Linked DNA regions of Drosophila melanogaster. The gene in region 4 interacts genetically with the main gene of each other region. Each region holds a gene or a part of one and is shown on either strand. Other genes may lie near its edges. The genes, in order: sl, gl, sgg and Pp2B-14D.

Evidence for each region.
Region 1: of Pp2B-14D (region 4) and sl, changing one suppresses a phenotype caused by changing the other (phenotypic suppression), as found in Drosophila melanogaster (one study listed by BioGRID).
Region 2: of Pp2B-14D (region 4) and gl, changing one suppresses a phenotype caused by changing the other (phenotypic suppression), as found in Drosophila melanogaster (one study listed by BioGRID).
Region 3: of Pp2B-14D (region 4) and sgg, changing one suppresses a phenotype caused by changing the other (phenotypic suppression), as found in Drosophila melanogaster (one study listed by BioGRID).

The regions. Positions count from the first base shown.
Region 1 is NC_004354.4:16,348,347-16,356,325, forward strand, and holds the start of sl (small wing), read left to right. Parts: upstream 1-1,968; 5' UTR 1,969-2,239; coding exon 2,240-3,544; intron 3,545-3,902; coding exon 3,903-4,383; intron 4,384-4,448; coding exon 4,449-5,302; intron 5,303-5,369; coding exon 5,370-6,440; 3' UTR 6,441-7,979.
Region 2 is NT_033777.3:18,367,423-18,374,615, forward strand, and holds gl (glass), read right to left. Parts: upstream 5,317-7,193; 5' UTR 5,095-5,316; intron 4,448-5,094; 5' UTR 4,357-4,447; coding exon 4,311-4,356; intron 4,028-4,310; coding exon 3,897-4,027; intron 3,414-3,896; coding exon 1,921-3,413; coding exon of another isoform or gene 1,917-1,920; exon of another isoform or gene 1,525-1,916; coding exon 1,380-1,524; coding exon of another isoform or gene 1,155-1,379; 3' UTR 505-1,154; downstream 1-504. Other genes in the region: Nup43 (nucleoporin 43kD), read left to right, coding at 1-439. UniProt on the Drosophila melanogaster protein: Transcription factor required for gene expression specific to photoreceptor cells.
Region 3 is NC_004354.4:2,645,127-2,649,667, forward strand, and holds the start of sgg (shaggy), read left to right. Parts: upstream 1-1,510; 5' UTR 1,511-1,745; intron 1,746-4,541.
Region 4 is NC_004354.4:16,554,109-16,561,654, reverse strand, and holds Pp2B-14D (protein phosphatase 2B at 14D), read left to right. Parts: upstream 1-1,638; 5' UTR 1,639-2,247; coding exon 2,248-3,960; 3' UTR 3,961-7,028; downstream 7,029-7,546. UniProt on the Drosophila melanogaster protein: Calcium-dependent, calmodulin-stimulated protein phosphatase. This subunit may have a role in the calmodulin activation of calcineurin.

The DNA.
Region 1 (7,979 bases), 210 kb from region 4:
AATCATACTGCTTCGCGTTAAAATATTCATGATCGACAACGCCGATCTTTAACAAATTGCTATGATTAGCAATGAAACATTTTTGAAGCTCATTTAATTTTAGAATTTCTACATCTGTTAATGTTGGTTTTACTTCCAACTTTCTAATTTCCAAAATAATTTCGGACTGCTTCTTAAGGAATTGAATAGTCTTTTCTGACATCATTTTGAAAATTTTTTGTAATTTCTTAATATATATAGTACGTGTATATGTATTTTATATGTATTTATATATATATGTGTGTTTGGATAAACAGAAAATTCTTGTTTTGACTTAGCTGATGTCGTTGTTGTTGCTGCTGCTGTTGCTGCTGTTGTTGCTGCTGTTGCTACTGCTGTTGCTGCTTCTGCTGCTGCTGTTGTTGCTGCTTCTGCTGCTGGTAGAGGCTCCTTTGAATTTGACTTCCTTCTCTTCTTTAAGGCTCCGTCGATGTTTAAAGATGATTTTTTTTTTTTTTGCACGTTTTATTATTTTTGTAGTCCAGTCAGATTTTTTGTTTTTTAGCCATTTATTTCGGCATTTATGCTCTTTTGGCATATACACTGCACTCTATTTATGAGCTGATTTAATGCTATTAGAGCATTTATAAGGCACTGTTTTCAGGCACTTTTTATTTAATTTATGCTCTTATGGCATATACACTGCACTCTATTTATGAGCTGATTTAATGCTATTAGAGCATTTATAAGGCACTTTTGTTATGCACTTTTTAATTTCACAATTGCTGATGTATGGCCTCAAGCACGCCTTACCACAATTTATAATGGTACACAAAGCAACCTTTAGCTATAGACTATAAGGTGCTTGTTTTAAAACATAAAAGATTCTTTTGTATCTTTTGCTTTTTATATTTATACTCTGTTCCTTACCTTTGGTAGGGGGAAACAAGAGTCACTTATTTTTGCTACCTTTAGCTGTAAGATGCTTAAAGGAGCTGGCCTTTCTCTGAGTTCCTTACCTTTGGTAGGGGGAAACTGCAGAGTCGATTAAAGGCTCGATTGACCAAATGTAAAATCCCAAATAAGAAGACTTTACTCGTTGAGTTTTTGTAAGAAACTGATTTTATTTGGAAATATCTTCGGTTTAAATAGGTGACATGAGAATCGCATCTTAAAGTAAATGGCCTACGCAGAGGCCTAAGTAAATAGTCCCCGCCTTATCGAGGTCCCACGCTCGGGCACATCTGCCTATCTTGAGCGGCGAGGACCTTATCTGTGGTCTCCCACTAAGGGACTATTTTAGGAGGCGGGGAACGATCTCAAGTGACTGACTCATGTAGTGTGCACTTAAATTACATGTTTTTGAGCAATGCACCCATGTCGCCTTAGATAACAAAATCCTAAATATAATTTATCGCTCTCGATTCATTTACATAAGATATGAACGGAGCCCAAAATTGTAAGTCTTTAAATATATTCGTGTTCATGTGTGAACAGGTAGAAAAGCAGACAACAACAATCAGTCAATTGCCTAAGCTTATTAATTTGTAAATCTATTTTAAATACAATATCAAGAAAACTTATGTTCGTTTGGTTTCAAGTTAGTTAGTTAGGAATTCTTCAGGTCGGGATTTATTTTCCTATCTACATAAGGTGAGTTATAATAAAAGCTTTAAGCTTCTTCGATTTGGTTGGTATGCTTAGTTTTGCTTTATTCAAAACTAGGAATACTATTTACATAACGAATTTTTGAATCGCACTTCAAAACAAAAGATAAAACTGGTCACACTTTAATATTTCAGTTATTCAAGTATGTAAACAATGGAGCAATTTTTAAGCTAAACTTTTAAATAAAATAGTCAATTTATTTTTTTATTTCCTCACAATTCGAAATACACCGCAGTGTGAACGCCCCATTTGCGTGGATTTAGTATTTTCTGTACCCACATTACGGCCTGGCAACACTGGCACTTTCCTCAACAGCTGGCTTATCTTATCTGCTTCTGTGGTATTTTTTGGGTACAATTCGGATATTGCATTGTTAATCTCGGTTTATTGAGTCCCAGTGGCCGTGATTTGTGCATCGACCAGTTGGAAGAGAGGGAGCAGTTGATCTGCGAATAGTTCCACGCGCTGGCACCCATAGTTTGTATGCATTGCACTTAGTCTGGCGATCGGTTGGCGAGGCGAGAAACAACCTGTGGCAGCCAGCGGATGAGAACTGGATTCGATAGGAATCGACACGTTTGGACCGGACAGGATGAGCTGCTTTAGTGCGATGAGTGCCCCGCTGCTGGGCGAGATGGAGCAGACCATTGGTATGCTGGAGCGCGGCACCATCGTGACCAAGTTGTATGGGAAACAGCGTCGTCCGGATCGCCGCCACCTGATGCTCATACGAGAGACACGACAGCTGCTCTGGGCAACGGTGGCCACACAAACGCCACGCACCGACTACGAGGGCGCCATACAGCTGCGGGAGATTCGCGAGATACGGGTGGGCAAGCACTCGAAGGAGTTTCGCCTGTTTGCCGACGACTGTCAGCGCTTCGAGTCCAGCAAGTGCTTTGTCATACTGCACGGCAATCACTTCAAGCTGAAGAGCTTCTCGGTGGTGGCTCTGTCGGAGATCGAGGCCGACAATTGGGTGCGGGGATTGCGTTACATGGTTAAGGACACACTGGGAGCACCCTATCCCTTGCAAATTGATCGCTGGCTGCGTCGCGAGTACTATCAAATCGAGAATGTTAACACGCATTCCGCCAAGGCCACGGAACAGTCGCCAGCCCAGGTGACCATTAAGGACTTTAAGCTCTTTTTGGCCGGAGTTAGCTGTAAGATGACCACCGGCAAGTTCATGGAGCACTTTACCGAGGATGTGCGGCGCAAGCACGATCTCAAGTTTGATGATTTCTCGCGGCTATATCAGAAGTTGCTGCTGCCCAACGGATTTGCCAGCGTCTTGTCCGGATCGGGAGTGGCCAACTTTCCCTATTCGGAGGACCAACAGGTGGTGCGACCGGCGGAGCTGAAGCAGTTCCTCGAGACGGAACAGCGCGATGTGAGCGCCAGTGAGATCAGTAGCGCAGCCATTGCCTCCTTCATTCGGGACTTTGTTCAGGACGTGGAACGTGATGTTCAGGAGCCGTATCTCACCTTCCCGGAGTTCGTCGACTTTCTGTTCTCCAAGCAAAACGACCTGTGGAACAGCAAGTACGACCAAGTGTTCATGGACATGAACCTGCCGTTGTCCTCCTACTGGATCGCATCGTCGCACAATACCTACCTGACGGGCGATCAGTTCTCCAGTGAATCCTCCTGCGAGGCCTACGCCCGCGCTCTTCGCATGGGCTGCCGTTGCATCGAGTTGGATTGTTGGAACGGGCCCGACAATCTGCCCTACATATTTCACGGCCACACCATTACCTCCAAGATCAAGTTCATGGATGTCATCAAGACGATTAAGGATCATGCGTTCACCAGTTCCGAGTATCCGGTAATATTGTCCATAGAGCAGAATTGCTCCCTGGAACAGCAGCGGAATATGGCGCAGGCCTTGATCGAGGTAAGTTGACCTAATCGAATCTATTAATAACAACAATTTATATATTCCATGCAAACAGGAGATCTGCATGTTTGCTTTTTGATTCATTCGCTGTAATAATGAGTTCTTTTATGGCTTTCTGTGAGATTGCCTAACTTAATATATAATTGAAATGGATTTTGTATATTTCGATAGTTGGGAATATGTATGACAATATGAAGAATTCGCTTTTTATTCGTTTGAATCTAATTATAAATGTAACAGAGCAATATTTTTAGTTACTTAGATTTCAAGACGATGGTAATTAGATATTTCTTGATGCTTTAAGTATTAATCGCATAAAAATCCATTGACTTATACCTTTTATGACCCATTACAGGTTTTCGGGGATATGCTGCTTACGCAACCTTGTGATCGAAACGAGCAGCACTTGCCATCGCCATACCAGTTGCGTCGCAAGATAATCCTGAAGCACAAGAAGTTGCCGCAGTTTGACGACATCGCGAATGGGATTTCTAGCACGGGTTCACTGGGCCATAGATCATCGTTGGGCGGAGCGGGCGGTGGAGCGCATGGGGAGAACGATGGCGAGAATGTGCGCAAGGTGTTCAAGGAGGGACTGCTCTACTTCAAGGATCCGGTCGATAAGTCCTGGAATCTTTATCAGTTCGTTCTGACCCATCAGGAGCTAATCTACTCCTCTGAGATCAACGAGTCACGCAACGGAAACTCCGAGGATGATGACTTTGGGCTTTCTTCGTCGTGCTCCCTAAACAGCAATATGCAGCAAAAGCAAAAGGATACCTCGGCCAACGATGAGCTGCACTTCGGCGAGAATTGGTTCCATGGGAAACTTGAAGGTGCGTTTATTGGTTGACATATATGCAGTATATTCCATTTGTTTCGTTAACAATTTGCATTTTAGGTGGCAGAAAGGAGGCTGATGATCTACTAAAGAAGTACAAACACTTTGGCGATGGTACATTTTTGGTTCGGGAATCGGCCACGTTTGTGGGAGACTATAGCCTTTCGTTCTGGCGACGTAATCGCCCGAATCATTGCCGCATCAAGTTAAAGCATGAAAATGGATCGATCAAGTACTATCTAGTGGAGAATTTTGTATTCGATTCACTGTACTCACTGATCGTTTATTATCGCAAGAATATGCTGCGTAGCTCAGAGTTTTCGATTATACTGAAAGAGCCAGTTCCGCAGCCGAAAAAGCACGAGGATCAGGAGTGGTTCCATCCGAACACCACCAAGGAGCAGGCCGAACAGGGTCTATACCGGCTGGAAATTGGTTCGTTTCTAGTGCGGCCATCGGTGCAGAGCATTAACGCTTTTGTCATTTCGTTCACAATCAATCGAAAGATCAAGCACTGTCGCATTATGCAGGAGGGACGCTTGTACGGCATCGATACAATGAACTTCGAGTCTCTGGTCTCGCTGATCAACTATTATACCCGAAATCCACTCTATCGCAATGTTAAGCTCAGCCATCCGGTGTCGCAGGAGCTGCTGCGTCAGGCGCTAGCGGAGGCGGCACAGGGTGATCATAGTGGCGGTCACGATGACAACGGTGCCTCCAACTACATGGGCTCCAATCTGGAGGAGAATGTCACGTGCAAGGCGCTCTACAGCTATAAGGCGAACAAGCCAGACGAACTCTCTTTTCCCAAGCATGCCATCATAACGAATGTCCAGAGGGACAACTCGATGTGGTGGATTGGAGATTATGGTGGCATGATCAAGAAGCATCTGCCGGCAAACTACGTTAAGGTGAGATGCATATATAGATTTATTTGAAATTCAACTATATTCAACTCTTGAAAATTCCAATGTCTAGGTTATCGATTCAACTACCGAGGACTACAATTCGCTGAACGAAGAGGGCACGGATGGACGCACCGATTCCATTGAGATTTTCGGAGCTGTTGCCTCGCTCTTTGAGTCCAACGATCCGGGGATTATTTTCAAGCTGCAGATACAAACGCCAACGATGCAGAATCCGTTTGTGATTGGCTTCGACAATCAGGAGACGGCGTACGAGTGGATAAAGGCAATCCAGGAGGCAGCCCTTATCGCCAGTCAGCTGGCATCGGAGAGGCGGAAAAAGGAGCGCACTGCCCGGGTGGCCAAGGAGATGTCCGATCTGATTATCTACTTCCGCAGCGTGCCGTTCCGCGAGCACTCGTGGATATTTCAGGAAATGTCGAGTTTCCCCGAAACGAAGGCCGAAAAGCAGTTCTTCCAGCAGAACACACAACTGTTTCTCTCCTACCATCGCAATCAGATTAGCCGAGTGTATCCGAAGGGTCAGCGCCTGGACTCGTCGAATTTTAATCCCATGCCATTCTGGAATGTTGGATCCCAGATGATCGCACTGAACTATCAGACAGGCGATAAGGCCATGCAGCTGAATCAGGCCAAGTTTCGGAATAATGGACAATGTGGCTATATCTTAAAGCCATCGTTCATGAAATCTGACAGCTTCAATCCGAACAATCCGCTGTGCGATGGCCTAAGCGAAGTTAAAGTTAGCATACGTCTGATAGCCGCACGTCATCTATTCCGGGGCGGCAAATCGAACAATCCGCAGATCGTGGTCGAATTGATTGGCGCTAGCTTTGATACGGGCGTTAAGTATCGCACCAAAGTCAATGAAAATGGTTTCAATCCGGTGTGGAATGAATCGTGCGAGTTTAACGTGCGTAATCCACAGTTTGCGATCCTTCGCTTCGAAGTGCAGGACGAGGATATGTTCGCCGAGACGCACTTCATCGCCCAGGCGTGCTATCCGCTGACCTGCATTCGCCAGGGCTATCGCAGCGTCATCCTACGAAATAAGTTCAGCGAGGAGCTGGAATTATCGTCCCTGCTGATCAACATTAAGATAGCAAATGTTACCGCACCGTAAGAGGATTGCTGAGTTAGCTGGATCAATATCAATGATTCCAAATCGAGTGTTTGCGAAAACAATTGCGCTAGATCAAAAGGAAAGCGAACTTAATTCGCAAAAGCAATTTATCAACAACTTGTACATAAGAACATTTCATCGAACTATGAACCTGATTCTCTCACTTGTAATTTGTCTAAAAAGCTTAGGATCTGAAACGTATGATTTAGATTTAGATTACTTTCTATACACATCAGCAGTTATGGTTAGTTCATACTATACAATGAGTATTCAAATGGTAACAATGAATTCTGAACTCCTGGAACTGAAATCAAGTTTATGTAATCCGTATAATTTGTACACTTTTCCATAACACTAAGCATTCAAGTCTGTTGTCCTCTAAATGTTGTATTTGTGCGTGAGATTGATTCAGGAGAATAGAATGATACGAATATGTTTTAACTATTCGTCACCTCATTATAAGCATAAGCAAACCAGATTTGATTTGATTTCGATTTAGGGAACTTGAGCTATTTCCATTTTACCAGTTTTACCATCAAAAGTTAAGTACATTAAGTTGATTCCAAAATTAGAAATAGAAACAATTCATAAACAGCTCAATTGGCATCAATTTAATGGGCATTTGATATTCAGTTTCAGGATCAGCTTTTCATAAGTATTATATTACAATCTTCTTAAAGACTTTTAACTGAAGAAAATAGACCACTTTCATATGTTATCTGGAAAACTATTTTAGACCTTTCTCTTAGCACAAATACTCAAACAGCATTTCAATCATTTAGCATTTACCTTTTTTATTTTCTCTTTTAAAGCTTAAAGTAATAATACAATTTATAAAAAAAAAAGGGCAAAGGAAATTTAAACCACTTTGATTACATATGTCTTCCAGTTGTTTAACAATTACGATATACCACATAATTGTGTCTATGTTATTTAACCACGATTGTTGTAGCTAATGTTACAAAAACTAAAAGTTTGCAAACAATATTAAAATAAAATGTAATTATTCAATTACATTTAAATGAACGTGCCTTAAAATTCGAAATGATCGAAATTTTAAATGTTTGAACGTTAACTATTGAAGTACACCTGTTGCTAAAATAACAAATATTTGAAAAATAATAATATAGCTCAAAGATATCTATTTTTTATAAAATCAAAGTTCTAACTTAGCTTCTTCTCTAAACTGCGAAATCTAAATATCTAAAGCCTAAGTTCAATAGACGTATTATTACTAAATGCATTATATAATTTATATATCTAGATATTCATAAAATGCACTAGTCGATTTAAGAAGTGGAAATTGTGCTCCCTATGCGAATCATTTAGGATTTTAATCTGAAACTATTTGCATTCCATACGAATGCCCCACTGAAACGATCGATATCATTTGTCTTGCACTCGCATTTAATTATTTAACAAACATTCTGCTGTTTCCATTCGCACAATAGTTCTAATTTGGACATTTTGCGCGTTTGAGCGCATTAGCAAATCATGCTTAGTATATATGTATGTGTATATGTACCCAAAATGTATTTC
Region 2 (7,193 bases), on a different chromosome or scaffold from region 4:
CTCCCAGGATGACAAGTCGAACTTTGTCTCGTCCCTTGCCAAGCATCCGATGCAGCAACATATTTTACTTTGCGGCAGCGAAGAGGGTTCCATAACCGTCTGGGATATGCGAAACCTCAGTTATCCCGCCTCCTATCTCAGCGCTCACAAAAGTCCCATCAACGAGATAGGCTTCCATCAAAAGGATCCCAGCAAACTGTTCACCGCCGCAGAAGGTGGCGAGGTGTGGATGTGGTCAGAGAACAAAGTTCTCGGGTGCGACTATAACAAAGACGGACACAGCCCCTGGTTGTCTGGCGATCGTGTTCGCTCCCTGGTCGATGTGGAGGGAGTGCTGAGTAATGTTCGCAAGTCCATCAACTCCTTCGATGTGCATGGAAGTCGTCTGGTCTGCGGAGGCGACACAGAAGCCGTTTACCTAGTTGATAATATTGTTTAAATGTCAAGCCTTTTGAATTCCTTACCTAAATTATATAATATTTCAATTGTTGAAATCAATTAGTTACTGTATTTAATTTTCGTATATTTATTATTTTCTTTATATACTCCAAAATTGGCTTAGATCAAAGCACCTGTCTTACATCTACGTCTAGTTTAAGCTTAGGACTCTATATTCGTATACAGGTGTTTATGGGTTTAATGCCTTGGCAATTCCAATTTAAATATTCTCGTTTTGGGTGCTGCTGTGTTGTTTGGTCTTATGATTCATACTCATATCCGTCTTAAATCCTATTTCGTTGGCTAATTTGGAATAGATTTATGCGTGTTTTGAACTACCTTATTTAATGGATGAACTAACTTGGATTCAATGCATATTAGGCTAAGCGAATATAATAAATATAGTATGTATAAGTATGTACAGTGCAGCTCTTAGGCCTACTTTTGTTCGATTCTCCGCGATTCCTCAGATTTGTATTGTTTGAGCATTTTTAACTGCATTTGGATGCGGATTTGGGTTATGAGTATTATTACATCGTTATGTTCAATTAGGATTTCAATTTAACACGAACCCAAATTATTTTTCTACAGCAATGTTGAGTATGGCATATACATTATTGTATTTATCAGCGATAGAGTGACTATCCCCGTATAATTCACTGAGTGGTCCTCCTTTAAGGTTTCTTATCCAGATGGGATCCTCCAGATTTTAGTCCCTAGTAGAATCGTTCGAACTTGGGCGCCTTGTTGAGTGCGCAGAAATAATACCCTGAATAGTTTTGTGTGGCTCCGGGTGGAGTATAATCGCCGATGCTGTAGTTCCCGTAGTCGTAGTTACCCATGTGGGCGTGGTGATGGTGATGGGCGTGGTGCTGGTGGTGCATGTGGTGGGTGTGCGGGGGGTGGTAATGCTGGAAACCTCCTGCACTCCTTGGCTTTTGTCATGTGAGCAGGCTGTTGCCACCACCAACTCCGCTGCCGGTGGAGGACTCTCCACCAACTCCGGTTGCCCCATTGCTGCCATTGCTGCTGTTGTTGTTGCCGTGGACGCGCATGTGCCGATTCAAGTTCCCCGACTGCGAAAATCTGTGGACACCAAAAAAGCAATTAACTCGATGTATAACGTTCCAGGACTGCTCTTTGGGGGCCTAAGCCTTTTTTAAGGGGTAATTTTCATCTTTAGCATTACATTTGAATAAACAATTATTATTTCATTTAATTTCAGTTCTTTAGTTGAAGTTGAAAATCTTACGAAAATGCATGAATGAAAATGAATGATGCATATTATCTTTGGTTTTCCTTTTTTTTAAGCTTGCAACAGTCTCAGTTTTGTTCAAGTTGTTAGTTTTATATTGAAACGATAGAAATTATTAAACTATCTTTAAAGCTTTAAGGGTTTACGTAAAAGTAAAAGCAAAACCATTTTCGTTCGTTTAGGAATGAGGAAGGACGGTGTAAGTAAATCCCCCATCCCGGACTCACCTGAGCAGGCAGAGCTTGCACTGGTAGGGCTTCTCGCCACTGTGGATTCGCAGGTGCTTGGTGAGGGTGCTGCTGTCCGAGAAGGACTTCTTGCACGAGGAGCAGCGGTACGGCCGCTCGCCGGAGTGGGTGCGCATGTGCGTGGTGACACTGGAACTCTGCGAGAATCTCCGGTCGCAGATGGGGCAGCGGAACGGCTTCTGGCCGGTGTGTGTGCGTACGTGAGCCGTCAGGTTGGCTGCCTGCGAGAAGCTCTTGTTGCAGTCGGGGCATCGATAGGGTCTTTCGCCGGAATGGGTCCGCAGATGGGTCTTGAGCGTGCTGGGCCGGGCATATGTCTTTCCGCACAACCGGCATAGATTGGGTTTCATCTCGCCGCCACTGCTGCCCTCATCGCCGTCCAGATCCTCGTTGCTATCCTCCTCGTCCTCGAAGGCGGATAGACTTAAGCCCAGGGCGGCTGCCTGATAGCTGGTGGGACTTTTGTGGGGCGGTGTGTATCCCTGATTGCCCACCCCCGTGGGATAGTAGCCAGCCAAAGAGGAGTTGGCCGGCGGCGATGGCGACTCCTTTTCGCCCACCGTCAGCGGTGGCAGGGCACCCAGACCCGTGGGAGCCGGTGCCCGAAAATCCGCTGTAAAGGAATATGTGGCCGAGGCAGGATAGTGACCGGGACTCAGCAGCGGTGGGTATAGCACATTTACCGCCGCTGCTGCTGCTGCCGCCGAGGTGGAGTTACTGGGTGGCGTCCAGTTCATCTGGGAGCACTGCATTGGCACGCCGCCTGCATCACCGGCACCGTAGCCATGGTGCATGGTCATGTTCATGCTGACGTTCACGCTCATGCTGGGATACATGGCTGCCGCCGGAGGAGGAGGTGGTGCGGCCGTTCCAGCACTGGTTTCATAGTAGCAACTGGCAGCGTTGGCCACTCCTCCGGCACTACCATTACTGCCGATATTGTTGCCACCACTGCTTTGGAGGAGAGAGTTGCCTACGTGCGATGCCTGGACTTGGGATTGCTGGTGCTGGTGCTGCTGGTGCTGCGAGTGCATCTGGCCATGATTGTGGGAGTTCGGCGAAATGAGCATCTGGTGCGGATGCACTGTGTAGGAGAGTGAGGCGGCCTGGTGCGGATTGCCGGCGGCAAAGTTGTAGGAAGCGCCGCAGGGCGAGAATGGGAACAGGCTGGGCAGCGGATCGATGTCCAGCGGCGGTAGGCCGGGAAATGTGGAAGCCATCTCGTCGGTGCTCCAGTAGCCGTGATTACCCGAGGAGCCTCCTCCGGCACCGTTGTTGCTGCTCCCGTTGCCGCTGCTCGCCGGTGGTGTCGTGCTGATCTGGATGTGGCCGCCACCGATGCCCACGCCCACTCCAATCGTGGGATCGAAACAGCCGCCGCAGTCGAAGTCGCTGCTGGTGAGCGAGGAGATGGGCAGGGCGGTGCTGCCCTGGCAGGATAGGCAGCCGACGCAGGAAGCGGCGCACTCTTGCTGCACGAGCGAAAACGGAAATGGAGATTGAGACCGGTTATGAAATACATTCAGTTAGTACTAATACGTAACTAAGACAAAATAATTAGTTAGTTAGTGGAAACATTTAGTAAATTTTAACTATTTTTACATTCTAATACTGACTTCTGAGGAGAGTTTAATTGTATTACATATGGAAGGAATTTCTAAGCTATTAAACTTCCCAATAGATAAAATCGTATGGGTTAAAAATGTAATAGATTACTTTAAAAACGAAAATGATAAACTTCTTAGTACAAAACTGTCTGATTTTTCAGTTACCGATATAGCAAATTAAAATAACCACAATTTCGGTATTGGGTTCTATTTCCTGGTTATAAAATTTAAATAGTTCAGGTATATCACAGATTTCAGCTAAGTTCTTTCCACGAAACAAGCACAACCGAACGCTCGAAGATTTCCGGAGATATTGAGGCGAAATCGAAAAAGGATTCCAGGACTCACCTGAGGGCTGTCCAGCGCCAGGCCGAACAGGGGATTGTTGGGCACATAGCCCGTCTCTGGTTCCACAGGACCGCCGTTTGAGACATCGCACGATATGTACATAGCTCCACCCTCTTGATCTTCCAGGGAATCTGCGCAGCCAAAAAAAAAAAAAAAAGAACAGCATGAAAATCACTGGAAGTACGCCAGAGATGCTCGCCAGCAGCGCGTATCTCATGGATACATTTTTGCTCCCATGACAACCACTGTGCGCACTAGCTCCGCCCCTCGAGACACACACAGACACACACAAATACACAAATCGAGAGACCGCCATTTGCTTTGCTCTCTCGACTCGCGACTTTCCATCCGTGTATCGCCATACAATATGCTGTATCTGCATATCTGTGCAATGGTGCTTCCGATTTCACTCACCCAGAATTGTGTTCAGGAGTTTGGAACCCTTATATAACAATCCCATGACATGACTCCACTTCTGGAACGTTTGGGCTCAGCAGTCGCGCATTTGTTCCTGCTTTTCCTACGCTTCATCTTGATGCGTTAATTTCCAACTGCAAGGCGATGACGGAACATTATTGGTAAATTCTAATTAAGATTCACTTTCTATTCATTTATTCAAATCTATTATTCAATTTATTATTTATTCAATCAAATACCAATATCAAATCTAATCTTCATATATTTTCAATAAAGTGTTAATAAATTCAGTTTTAAATAAAGTTCGACAGCTAATCAGAAATTAGATACACAATATGACAGATTCTTCACCTCTAAATTTAAAAGAGATATCGAATTATAGATCGCTCTTATGACGAAGATGGATTTCAATTCGATTGTTTCATTATTGTTAGGACTAAAAAATTATACTAAAATTACAATAACTTTCATTTTGAAAGAAACAAAACGTTAAAATTGCTATTTAACTAATTTATGCATGCAAATCAAAGTAAATTTTTGTTTTTCTTTTTAATGAGATCAAAGCTATGATATTGTTAAATTGATAAAATCTTCTTAGTGAATTGATTTTTTCGATCTTAGCCAAAACATTGTTAGGACATTTTAATTAGCTATTTGCAGTTATTAGGTTTTATTTCAAATACATTAGTTGTATTCCATTTTTTCTTTCTTCTTTTTTATTGCAGATTTAATATTGTTTATTCCGTTCTTTATTCACATATGCACTCTTAATCGTTTTCACCTTCTGAATAGATCCACAAATGGCATGATACCAAGATCACCAATAGAATTTCAACGTTTTCTTGCAAAATATGTTTGTAACTTTTTTTTCGAAGACTCGGTTTTAAGTAGTAACACACGATCGTTGTTTTCCGATTTGAATTTTATGCGTTTTCAGTTTTCGATTTTTCGAGTGCGGGGCAAGAAGCGACTTTTGGCGAGGAGCATAAGACGGCGACTAATTGTCAGTTGCAGTTCGGTTCGAGCCACCTCGGCCCAAAATCGACTGATATATCGGATTGGCAGAGCGGCAGCAAAGCGACAACCGACAACTACAGAGGAAGCAGCAGGGCGCAAAAAACATACTCACTTAATTATAAACAAGCGACAAAAGGGCGCAAAAGACAACGGCAACAACAATCTCGCTCGCACTCACACTTTGGTCGGCTATAATGACACAAGTACGCAGCACTACACACTCGAGACCCTTGCTGAAAGCACCCCTCCTCCAATACCAAACCCATACCATACCATACCCACACCAAGCCATCCCGCACTATATCCCATGCCCACTCCTGAGATTCCATCCATCCACCACCACAACAACGCTGCCGTCATCGTTGTTGGCCAACCAATGCGCTCCGTCTGCCGGCTTTTGCGGCTACTACCCACCCCTCTGCTGCTTCCACGTCCACATCCTCATCCAAATCCAAAGTCACCCTCCTCCGCCTTCGCCTTCGCCTCCATATCCGACTCCTCCGCTGCCGATCCCGCCCAGTCCGAGTTTCAGGCCCATTCATACGTGGCCAGCTACATCGGCAGCAGTTTTCAGTAGTTTTTATTTGTCACCCAATATCTTACAGCTCGACACCAGATACCAACGAGGCGGGGAGAAAAAAGAGTACACTTCGAGAAATAATCGCTAGCAAGCAGTTCTAGTGCTCTAGAATGTTACACTTCAAAATCGATGGCCGTTCAAATAACGTTGTTTTCAATTCACAAACAAGTATCCTCACTTTATTTGTTGAAAAGAAGATATGAAGTTCCTTTTCCTTAAAATCTATAGATGCACAACCGCAGATTGTCGCTAAATTCTTAAGAGGACATCAAATCACTTGAGACTATTTGATATGCTTGTGATTAGTGAATATTTTCGATATATAACATATTATTTACTTTCTTAAAATAAAGGTATTGTAATTTTATTACATAATAAACAAAAAGTACTATAGGGATTATTAATAAACAATGTAATTGGTATGATATAAATATGATACAAGAAGTATTGAAAATAAAGTAATTCACATATTAAAATGGGAATTTTCTGGCAGGGTCTCTGATGAGGGAGGGACAGTTGCTACGGACTTGCCAACCATTGATCGTCTTCGTCGGCATTCTGCTTCCTCTTCGCTCCATTGTTTTGTGGTTAAGTGAGGCAGTCCATCGGCCAAGTCGGCCGGCAACCCCCTGACTGCTTCTGTAGCTTGTATCTGCGTATCTGGCCGTGTGTATCTGCTTCTGTTGCGTGTATCTTTGTATCTCTATCTCCGGCGCTGATTCTCAATTGTAGCCCGGCCAATGACGACTGCCAATCGATCGATGCTCTTGTCGCCGGGCCGACAATCGTGAATAGTTTGAATGTTATTTGATAGTTCGATTTGTGGTCGCAGCAGAAAAAGCAAGGAATAAATCGCAGGCCAGATGGAAAAGCAAATGGAAATTATGAAATAGATGTGTTAAGCCCAACTCGACTATATTTAGCTAAGATATATTATAGATATAATGCTATGAAGAGATCCCAATTCGGATCGATCACCTGGTTCACACGCCCGAAATCGAATTCACCGCCAATTGGCAAAATCAGTTGAGTGCAAAGGCTTGCAGTGATCGCATACGTATCGAGCTATATCCCCCATATCACCTTACCTTATCGATGGGAATTTCAGGTCAAGCCCAGCCAGCGTCGTGTGTGTTAAAATCAGATCCACAGTCTGAGCAGATTCGAACCAGTTTTCAATTTTTATATTTCTTTTTTTTTTTACTTCGCTTCAAGTATCAGTTTCATGTCAACAACTTGGCTAAGGACATGAGCCTGTCTCTGCTGCCGATTGTCAGAATGGA
Region 3 (4,541 bases), about 14 Mb from region 4:
CACTAGAATCAGTAACCATATCGGCCAACAAGAAGGCAGCTAAACAAGGACCCACTCGCGATGTGAAAGTCAAGAGCACGGCCATCGAGAGCGGCCCCTCCAAGCCCCCGCCGGACAAACATCTGGAGCGCCAGTTTGTCCAGTCGGTGAATAGTTAGTGTCCGGTCGCTTTGTTCAGCTGAAGTTATTGCTAATTATTATTAAGTTCTCGTAACTAATTTTGAATTTTCTTCTTCATTTTCTTTCCAGGTAAGTTGACTATCATATTACCAAACTTCCTATAAACGGGTAAGCAAAAGTCTGTTCTCCCACATTGAAGTCTATATATATATATATATGGTGATAACTGCTAAAAGCAAACTTATAGATTGTAATTGTTTTTAAGTGTTTAATTAGTTTATAAGTAAAAGCTACGTATATGTAAAGCTAGCCTAATTTCGCAGAATTTGTAGCTAGTGTTGCCCAAATGGGTTAAGTTACATGAGTTTATGTTATTTTGTTTACAAATGAAATTTGTGGAAATATGTACCAATACAGGGTTTAAGATTTCGATTGTGGCGAACATTTATGGCTGTGGCCTTGGGACTTGCATACTTTCGGGCGGCGCTCGTAATGAACCGGCTGCATTTTTCGATGCTTTCGCAATTAGCGGTGGTTAAAAGACCTCGCCACCCACATCCCCACCTCCCACATTCCCCACCCACTGAATTTTCCACTCTTTAACTCTTCTGTTTTTGTTTTGTTTTGTTGACTCATCGGCACGCGCGCTCTCATTTCGGCCTCTTTCTTTATCTCTTTCTCGGTTACCTAATTTTTGCATAAGTCGCGTCGCCGACACATGAGAAATTCCGGCGCAGCGTACTAACAAATACGCACACACTCGCACACTCGCACATGCAGCTAGCACACTCACGCACCGCATGCAAATTAGCTGTCCGCTGACTAGAAATTCTTTCGCGAGCGCTCTCTTTCCCGCCCCTTTGCTCTGTGTGCTCGCTCGCTCCCCACACGCCGCACACGCTCCCCCGCTTCCTCCCTCGCCGTTCGCCGTCCATGTGACGATCAATTTTAGCGCACATTGGGGCAAATGTGTGGAGCAAGCTGCCAGCGATGCTCTCTTTCGGGTGAGAAACAACATAAATACTTCTTTCATTTAATTCCATTTCCATTTGAGAAGCGAAGCAAAGCTTTCGGCCCACCGTGCAACGTTCAATGCTCCGGTACAGCTGCGGTCAGTCAGTTAGAAATCAAAGTTATATCAAATGTTCCTTGGAAGAGACCAAAAATGATGTGTCATGCCTTAGTAGAGACAAACTTACCTAGAAAGGTGCCTGTATTTATAAACTGGTGTTGACATTTATTTAAAGTTGTAGAAATATTGATTAGTTAGGTGGTCCTTCCGTTGCGAGCGCTGCTGTGCTGCGGGACGCCGGCGCAGGCGCTGCTGCGCTGCCGGCGACGCTGTCGGCTGATGTGAATGTGATGTAGATGCCCATGCTTCGACTCGCTCACTCGCGTTGAATCCATCGAGCAGGCGCGTCGTTCTCTCCTCTCGTTCCGGCGCGTTCCATTCAGCCATTCCGCGACTCTATTTGCCTGTTGTTTTTGTAGCTTTATCAGCGACAAAAAAAAAAAAAAACGAAACGAAACAAATATAAATATAAATAACAACGGCGAAACAAAAAGTGAAACAAAATCGTGACGCGCCTGATTACTTTATTTTTTGTGTCAACAGTGTGTGCAGTGTAATGTGTCTCCAAAAGAAAAATAAAAATTAGAAACTAGTCGAATTCAATATGCATTGAAATCTAATTAGTTGCCGCATTGTTGTTTTTGCCGCCTGACACCATTAGAAAATCACGAAAAGAGCTATCAACATGGCCTAAAGTGACCAATGAATTGGAGTTTATTTCACGGCGTTGTGAAATATGCTCCAACTTTAACCCAAAAACCCACACACACTCATTGCCAATGTATTAATGTTTTTTTTTATTTTTATTTATACTTGGGGGAGATGTGTATTTTTTTAGTGGGGCGAATGTTCTAGAAAGCTCTTTAAAGTACCTCGATTTGTGTGGGAATCTAACGCTCGTTGTTTGCCCCTTCCTCGCAATAGTTGTTTGTGAATATGTTGCGATGTATACGTATCCACGATTTCAGTGCATCTTCACTACCAAATCCAAGAAGAAGAAACTTAAAATTCATCAATGGAAAAGTTTTTGCAATCCCCCTGTCTCGCTCACTTGCTCTGGCCCCCTCAATCGCCGCTCTCTTTCCGCCGCAAGGCGCACAACAAGTGGCAAACCGAAGCGGCGGCGTCGTCTTCAAACCAGTTTTACTGTAGCGTTGTTGTTGCTGCTTCAGCTTACACTGAAAAAATAACGCAGTCAATAACGCAAATTAGTCCATAGCTTGTTGGTACCATTTCGTTTGTATATTTTATAAGCACATTTTGTAAACAGGAATTAATGGAGAATACGCAACACAAATCTAAGGCACGATTTCTAAAAAAGTTTAAATGATGTGGTGATTAATGTTTGTTTATTTATCACGACACTTAAATTGTTCTCTGTGTAATTCTGCGGCTGCTGCGTCTCCGCGATAATTGGTGCGGAGGTTGCCCCTTCAGCCCTCCCCCCAAACTCCTCCATCTACCATTCCATCTACCGTTCCGCCGATCAGTATTTGCTTTTATGGGCAAAAGTTCTTCAATGAGTGGTCACAGCATTTGTGAAGGGAGGGGGGCGGAGGGGGCTGCGGTACGTGCATGCAATTCCTTATTGGCGACAATGTTGAAATGTGTGCGCCTGTTTGAAGGAAAACACCAGAGATCAAACCAATAGCTTTAAAACTTTGATTGCCTTTTGATTAAAGCCATGTGGAACTTAGTGCCATCACCGTTATTGGGCAGATTCTAATTGGTTTTCCAAGTAAGATGCTGAAAATGCAATTTTTTCTCGTAACGTTAATCGGTGAACAGGGAATCCCCCTCATTGATCTCCCAGCGCAGTGGAGCCAAAGTCCTAAGTTTTTTCAGCATGGATGACAGTGCCTATTAGTGTGACCGCTGGTGTTTGTGGTGGCTTGGGCCAAAAGTGAATTATTCATGTTGTTGCTGCTGTCGCTCTGCCAGTGGAAAATTCCCAAAAAAAATTCGCATGAACTGCGCCGGCTGCTCCTCCGCTCCTCCGCTGCCCCACATGCTTCTCCTTCCACTCGTTCTTCTTCTTCTTTGAGTGCCCCCCAAAGGCAAAAAGTCGGAGTCGAAGTTACTTGGTGTGTTAGTTGTTGTTGCTCTTGCCCACTCATTCGCTTCGGTTTTTTTTTATTTTCTTTTCTTGTCTTTAACATTTTTTCTTTTTATAAAAATAGCACAGACGAAGAAATATTTGCACACACACACACACACCACGCACACACGTGTATTGTAGCATTTGCTAATTTTCTTCGTTTGTTTCGCTTGGCGTTTTTTGTTTGTTGATTCGCCTATTGCCTCCGTCTTCCCTCTCGCTCTCCGCCACTTTTATATTTTCAAAGACAGCAATTTGTATCTTTAGTGCGGGGATCACTTTTCTCTCTTAAACCCGACTTTCTCACGCTCTCTTCCGGCGCTCTTTCGTCTCCTTATCCACCACCCACCCACGCCCTAAATGTGTCAATGGTTCAAGGCGGACGAATGAATAATCAAAGAAGAATTAACTCGGAGCTTTTCACATTAAAAAGCTTCTCAATTGTGGAGCTTTGCTTTCGTCAGACTTTTTTCGGGGGCCAAAACTGCATGACGTGCCGCCAAAATCAATAAACATAGTATTGTTTCGCACTTTGTGTATACATACTATGTACTTTCACACTTGTTCTTCCCATCCAATTTATGCAAGATCATATGCTTAGTTCTTAGTACTGCCAAATCCTTACAAAAAAAAGTCGGGTTTAATGCGGCTGTCACCGCCTCTTATCTTTCATTTCCCTCCAATATGCCTCCCACTTGCAGGCAGTTGACTTTGTTTCACTGGAAGCCACGCGTTGCTTGTCGATTTGATCCTCTTATAAATATTTGCACGTCTCGATTTACATTGTTTGCTTGTTGTTTTTGTATGTATGGCATAATGACGTTTACGATGACGCGCTTGAAACGACTAAAAGTCGGAATTATATGGCTGGCCCCCCGTCGATTTCTCACGCCCATTTTTGGAAGTGAATCGCGGCTTTGGCATTTTTGGTATCCAGAAATGTTGTCGCCACTGCAAATACGAACAAAATATACATAATAACATGCGGAATCTGGCCCATGGCGTCGTAAACCGGTGCAACCTTAATGACAAATTGCAAATGTGAATAGAGTGCGTTTCATAATGCACTTCCGGTCATAAAATATAATAATTCCTAAGGCGAATTAATTGTTTATCAATCAATTGTTTTGATACAACAATTTGTCAATAAAGAAGCACACATGGGCACCAAGAATCTGCTGACGTTGTCGCATTCTTGTTATCGATCAATTAACGTTTTTCACTTCAATTTGCAATAAAGTAATTCTTACG
Region 4 (7,546 bases):
CACTCATCTCATCCATTGCAATGCGAATGAAAACCTTTTCATCATATGTATGTATGTATGTAATTATATACGTTACCTTAATTTTTTTGATACATGTATTTTTCAACATCTACTTCCTGCCCTCGAATGCTTTAAAAACTTTACACGAAAAAGAAAACAATTTAATATATATTATAAACAAAAAAGAAATGGACAAAGAAAAGCAAAAACAAAAAAAAAACAAGAAAAACCAAGTGAAGAAAAAACCAAAAAACAATTAAAACTTTACCTTTTGGATAAATCAATTTAAATGCATATTTTATATATATTTAAACATTTATTTATATATAACATGTATGATAAATATAAGTTGGAAAAACTTTGTCAAAGCAAAAAGTTTATATACTTATATTAAAGAAAAACAAAAAACAAATGGATGGAAGATGGGAAAGGAAAACCAAAAACCAAATAAATAATATTAAAAATGCAACATAACAAATTAACAAACAAGAAAACATCACATCTAGATAAATCTCTTAAAAATTTTCAATTTTATTATTAAACCGAAACCAAAGTTAATGGATAAACAAATTTATAAACTGTATTGCAAGGGGCAGCTGGCTGGCAAAAATTACATAAAATTTGCGCCGTTGTGACAAAAATTGTACGCAATCCAAGGAAGATAACAAATTAATTTACAAGATAAAGATGATGATAATGGAGATGTAGACGATGGAGAATAAATGAAGGCAACAACAAAATGCAGACAACAAGTTTTAACCTTAAGTGAATGCAAAACAAAATGAAGAAACCCAATGAAAACAAAATGATTATCAATGTTATTAACATAATTAATATTAACAAAAACGAAAAAAAAAGAACAAGCAAAAAAAAAAAACAAAAACAACCAAAAAAGAAATACAAAAACATTAAAAAAAATATACAAGTACCTATCCTGAGAATAAAATGCGCGCACATTTATTATTTCCTCTAAAAGTTCGTTTGAGTCGATTTCGCCACCGGGGAATTTCAGAATAAGCATATACATATTTAATCCCGGGAAGCATATCCACCAGTAGAAGGCTGGAGAAGTGGTGGACTGAGTGAGTAATGTCCAGAATTTGCTCGAAAATTAAGGAAGAGGTAAGTGTAAGTGGGGCGAAACCGACAGGTGGCCAAGAATTTCAATAATGAGGTTTTTACCTATATTGATAAATTCAGCATCTGGGCTCTCATATTCTCTAATTTTAATTCATTTTATAATGTTTAGTTAACTACGTTTAAAGAATAATTAAGATGAACGGCTTAATTGATAGCTTAAGCTTTTTTAAAATAAAATGTTTTCCAGTTGACATTTTGAATATGTACCAAGTCCAATTGGATATAATTATCAAAGTTTAGCACCTTGTGGTACATTGCTGTGCGGAATTTGTTCAGATTTTAATTTTGCGCCACCATCTACATCTTTAAAGTGAATATATTGTTAGAAAGGAGATAAAAGTAAGCGTATTCATTTAGAATATTAAATATACAGAGAAAGATATAATTTTGCACGTACCTTACTCGACTACTTCCATGACTTCCATTCCAGGTGCGAGTCTCGACTAGAGTACACATTCCAGCGGCCGTGTAGTAAGTTTGAGCTTTTGAGCCACGGCCACACTGCAGAAAATTCCATTAAAAAAAGCGAGAAAAAAAACGTAGCGAAAGAGAGAAATTACGACGTCTGCAGGGCCGAAGCGAAAAAAGTAGCAAATACTGAAACAGAGTGACTATGATTGTTGTTAAGTGAAAGCAGCACTTTTGGAAAACGGCTAGGCCAGCGGCGCAGGCCACGGAAGAAAGCAGCGGAGTCAGCGTTCCAAAATCAAAGCAAAGCCAGCGGAAAGTAAAGGAAAGCGAATCAAAGCTGGAAGGCGATAAAGCGGCTCACCAGGCACTCCAACAACAACAGCAACAATAGCAACAACAGTAGGAGCAGCAGCAACAACCACACAGCAGCAGCAGCAGCAGCCAGGGAAAGTACCAGAGTGTGAGTGAGTGAGTGAGCGAGTGTGCGTGTGCGTGTGTGTGGGTAGTGGAAACAGAACTGAGCCGTGAGAGAGCGAGAGCGGGAGAGCGAGAGCGGGAGAGCGAGCTAGTGGAAGTGGGAGCGGGAGAGGAGCAGTCCGATTCCGAATCCCGGAATAGAAACCAGGAAAAAGGAAACGGGAAGCAGTAGCCGTAGAAGCAGAGCCAAAAACCGAAACAGAAACAGAAGTCTCAACCATGTCTTCGAATAACCAGAGCAGCAGCGTTGCCCAGGCGGCAACAAGTGCCCGCACCGTCAGTGCCGGATCGGCGGAAGCCACAGATGCCAATAGTACCGCCTCGAACAACAACAATAATAGCAGCAGTACCGCTGCAGCGGGCAACAACAGCGACAACAGCAGTCCCACCACTGGAACGGGCACAGGAGCGAGCACTGGAAAGCTGCACGGCGGCCACACGGCAGTAAACACCAAGGAACGGGTGGTGGACAGCGTTCCCTTCCCGCCCAGCCACAAGCTGACCTTGGCGGAGGTGTTCGACCAACGCACCGGCAAGCCCAACCATGAGCTGCTCAAGCAGCACTTCATTCTTGAGGGCAGAATCGAGGAGGCGCCCGCCCTGAAAATCATCCAGGACGGAGCCGCCCTGCTGCGTCAGGAGAAGACGATGATCGATATTGAGGCGCCGGTGACGGTGTGCGGTGATATCCACGGCCAGTTCTACGACCTGATGAAGCTGTTCGAAGTGGGCGGCTCGCCCGCGAGCACCAAGTATCTGTTCCTGGGCGACTACGTCGATCGGGGCTACTTCAGCATCGAGTGCGTCCTGTATTTGTGGTCGCTAAAGATCACCTATCCGCAGACGCTGTTCCTGCTGCGCGGCAACCACGAGTGCCGGCACTTAACCGAGTACTTCACCTTCAAGCAGGAGTGCAAGATCAAGTACTCGGAGCGCGTGTACGACGCCTGCATGGACGCATTCGACTGCCTGCCGCTGGCGGCGCTAATGAACCAGCAGTTCCTCTGCGTGCACGGCGGTCTGTCGCCGGAGATACACGAGCTGGAGGACATCCGGCGGCTCGACCGCTTCAAGGAGCCGCCCGCCTTTGGCCCCATGTGCGACCTGCTGTGGTCCGATCCCCTGGAGGACTTTGGCAACGAGAAGAACTCGGACTTCTACACGCACAACTCCGTGCGCGGATGCTCGTACTTCTACAGCTACGCCGCCTGCTGCGACTTCCTGCAGAACAACAACCTGCTGTCGATCATCCGGGCGCACGAGGCGCAGGACGCCGGCTACCGCATGTACCGCAAAAGCCAGACCACCGGCTTCCCCTCGCTGATCACCATCTTCTCGGCGCCCAACTATCTCGACGTGTACAACAACAAGGCGGCGGTGCTGAAGTACGAGAACAACGTGATGAACATCCGGCAATTCAACTGCTCGCCGCACCCGTACTGGCTGCCCAACTTCATGGACGTGTTCACCTGGTCGCTACCCTTCGTGGGCGAGAAGGTCACCGAGATGTTGGTGAACGTGCTGAACATCTGCTCCGACGACGAGCTCATGACCGAGGAGAGCGAGGAGCCGCTCTCCGACGACGAGGCGGCGCTGCGCAAGGAGGTGATACGCAACAAGATCCGTGCCATTGGCAAGATGGCGCGCGTCTTCTCCGTGCTGCGCGAGGAGTCCGAGTCGGTGCTGCAGCTGAAGGGCCTGACGCCCACGGGCGCCCTGCCCCTCGGCGCCCTCTCCGGCGGCAAGCAGTCGCTCAAGAACGCCATGCAGGGCTTCTCGCCCAACCACAAGATTACCTCGTTCGCGGAGGCCAAGGGCCTGGATGCCGTCAACGAACGGATGCCGCCGCGGCGGGATCAGCCGCCCACGCCCAGCGAGGATCCGAATCAGCACAGTCAGCAGGGCGGCAAAAATGGGGCTGGACATGGGTAAGCTGTGCCATCTAGTGCGGCTGCAGGACGAGGATGCAGATGCAGATGCGGCACGGTGGAGTCTGGCGAGGTCTGAATTGGTCTGAAGGAGGGGCTGAGTGGAGCGGAGCGGAGGCAACACAAAGAACACCAACCGAACGGAACCTTAATTAAACTTAATGTGGCAGAGCAACAACTTAAATACTAAAACCAATTCTAATTCTAAGTAATTGTCATAACCCCCTGCATTTCGTATGTGATCCCGCACCAGCTCCATGCCCATGTCTATGTCCATGGCCCAGAGCCTCCAAACCGACGGCACGGAGCAGAGATTTGTTTTTACGCAGGCGCGCGCACATTGGATATTAAAATTATGTGTGGCATACTTTGGCGCGCCGGCCCCCAAAACGGAAAATTCCCTTTCGCGATAGAAGAAAACCAACCCATAACGTAACCCATAACCTAGCTTAAGTTGTAATGTATAAACTATAAACTGAAATGGGCAAATTTTAAAATGGAAAATGAACAAAACGGAAAGAGCTAATTGAAATCCCTCCCCCTGCGATAATGCGATAATTTAAGATGAAAAACCCCAGCAGAATCCCCATAATCCCCAGAGGCAAGAAACACTAATCCAATTGAAGAGATATGGGAAACAAAATCCAGCGCTAATCTGTTCCAAACATTTAGCAGCGGCAAAAAAGAAGCGTACATATATGTATACATATGATTATTTAGAAATATCGAGGCGCAGTGCCGAGATGCAACCGAAAGTGTAATGAAATTTGAAATGAGCAAAGGTCATTTTTTGTAATAATCGTAATCCTTGAACTCTAGAAATGTAATCTTGCATAGAAGAAACGAATGAAACAAGCAAACAAATTCGAAACCATTTGCAATATGTGCCGCAATAGTCCATAAATGTTCCTTATACGAATTAAACATTGAAAGTGAAATCAGAGTTTATTTTTTTTTTTTTAAATATATACTTAAATATATGTATATGTATTATTGTTGCATAATCTAACTTTTGACTTAATATGTTACATTTTACGTGTACGACTGTGTGTGTATAACTAACTATTTGCGTTTTATCAGTAGCTTGGCGAACAAAAAACAAAAAACAAAAAAAAACCAACCAAATGGCAAAAGCAAAAGCAAAGAAAAAGCAGCAAAAATCCATAAGAGATCACACAAGATGATAATCGTTGTTTGAGGATCACAGTCTAGCTAATTAATAAATTGATGAATAGGATCGATCGATTTCCATTGATGTGAATGCATTTTGAACACTGAAAGAACGGATCGTTTACCATTTAAATAGCAAATCAAATATTTAACTATTAAATTACTGTGTAAACCTAATAACGTATAATATATTTCTGCGTGTAAATTGAACTAAACGATTAATTAATTAACTAATTTAGCGAATCGATTTTTGTTGAGAGAGAAAGAGCGCTAGCACACACACACACACAAACACAAAACTTATTTTCCTTGACTTAGTATGAGCTAATTGCAATGAGATTAAGCGAATGAGATGTATTTAAGTAAGTATAAGGCATGGCACACACATGAGAAACGGATGAGTTTCGGCGTTTCAGATCAATTCAATGATAATGATGGCAATCAAGTTCTCAATTTGCGCCTACACCTCTTCCCAAAAACCGATGATATCAGCTTCTCCTTTATCACTAATCACAACCACTATCAATGCGAAATCAAAAGCTATAAGATATACCACATACATACTCACGCAAGAAATGCCTTCATCGAGATCATATTATCCACGAACCAAGAATATTAACGCTGTACTTTTGCTTCGACTCTTCAACCACCAATAATTGCATTGAACTCTAATCTAAATATTTATACAGATATATATATATATTATATACCGAGTTGGCATTGGAAAACAGTTAGTTTTAGTGATCTATGCACGTATCGTAACAATACCAAGATTAATTAAATCGTAGCTAAAAGAAACAAATCAAGGATGAGGCGGCAGTCGCAGAGTTTCCCTCTTAGCTTTTATAAAAAAAAAAAAGATGGAGAAATGGAAACAACTTACTCAACTAATTGAGAGATACACCATATTTATATAGATATATATATAGCGTTTTTTTTTTTTGTTAATCCTCCACCACAACTATATAATTATTGAAAGTTGATGAAAGCTGTTGGGCCGTTTAAGTTTCAGAGTTTCTGTTCTATATGTGGTTAAAATTGTTAATGTTGTTACACCGCAAATGCATACTTAGTTAGTTAGTCGAGTGAAATGGGAGTTCCCCCAAATCACATTTAATTGCAATAGTCTCGAGTATTGAACGCCAAGAACACCAATTCCATAGAATGATTGTATACACTCAGAAAATCAATCGGCATTTATGTTCGAAAATCGCCGCAAATATTTTCAACAAGTATGGGTTTTTACGGATTTAAAATAATGAAATTGAAAACTAAATTCCATATTGTTAGGCTATAAACAAATGTTTCTATTGATGGACAACATTTCAGGTATAATTTTTGAAAAACAACAAATATTTATTTCAATTGTTAATACCAAAATACGCATAGGTCAACAATTAAGTTTTAATTTTTTTTTTTTAATATAGTTTAATTATCAAAGAACTATACATTTTAAGCCATTAAACGTAGGCAATATTCAGATAATTTTCTGAAATAAATTAATTGTAAATTTTGGATTCTCTTAGGGCGATTTGCATTCCGAGTGTATCAAGAGCCATGGTAAATAATAAAGCTAAGAAGTATTAATAATTCTACACTATGTATGACTAACAATACATTTGCTTAGTTCCCTCGATAAAGAAAGTACATAACTATTGCATGAGGCATAGGCAAAACTTCCTGGCACATAGTAAAAGTAAATAATTGAATAGAACGGCTGAGGAGGAGATGAGTAGATTTTGATAATATGTACGTCAAGACCATGCCAACATACTTATGGGAACTATTTAAAAAGCATTAAAACGTTCAATATAACACATAATACCCAGACAAAAGCAGAATCAAAAAATGCGGGAACGAGACGGCTGCATGGTATATACATACATATATAAGACATTTCGCCTCTTAAAGCAATTATAAAGATAACAAATGAGTAACGTTTATTATATTATTAAATTATACATACATATACATACTATATAAACGGAATAAAATAAATCAGCAACAAACTTTCCATTTTATGGCGTTCGATCACTTAACTTTTTATCCTTGGGAGCAGTATTGTCAAGTTATCATTTTTCTTCTTAATTGCTTAAATTACAATTCTTTAAATACATGCATGTATTCAATGATGGCGCCAAATTTTGAACCTGTTTTAAGTCTTAATTCAAGAATATTTTTCCAAGTATGAGAGTGAACGAGAGGCAAGAGCGCAAACGAAAAATACCAGAAATCAATGTGAGTATTTTGAAATTTCAGCAATTGCCGAATTGGTTTTTCAAATAGATGTGATTAGTTGTTAAATTGCCAAATCTTTAATCCAATAATTTAATTAATAAAGTCTTAATTGAATTGAAATTGTTTTGTGTAAATCCTGTGCAAGTAACATATATTACTAATAAACTTGTATTTTTTAATCT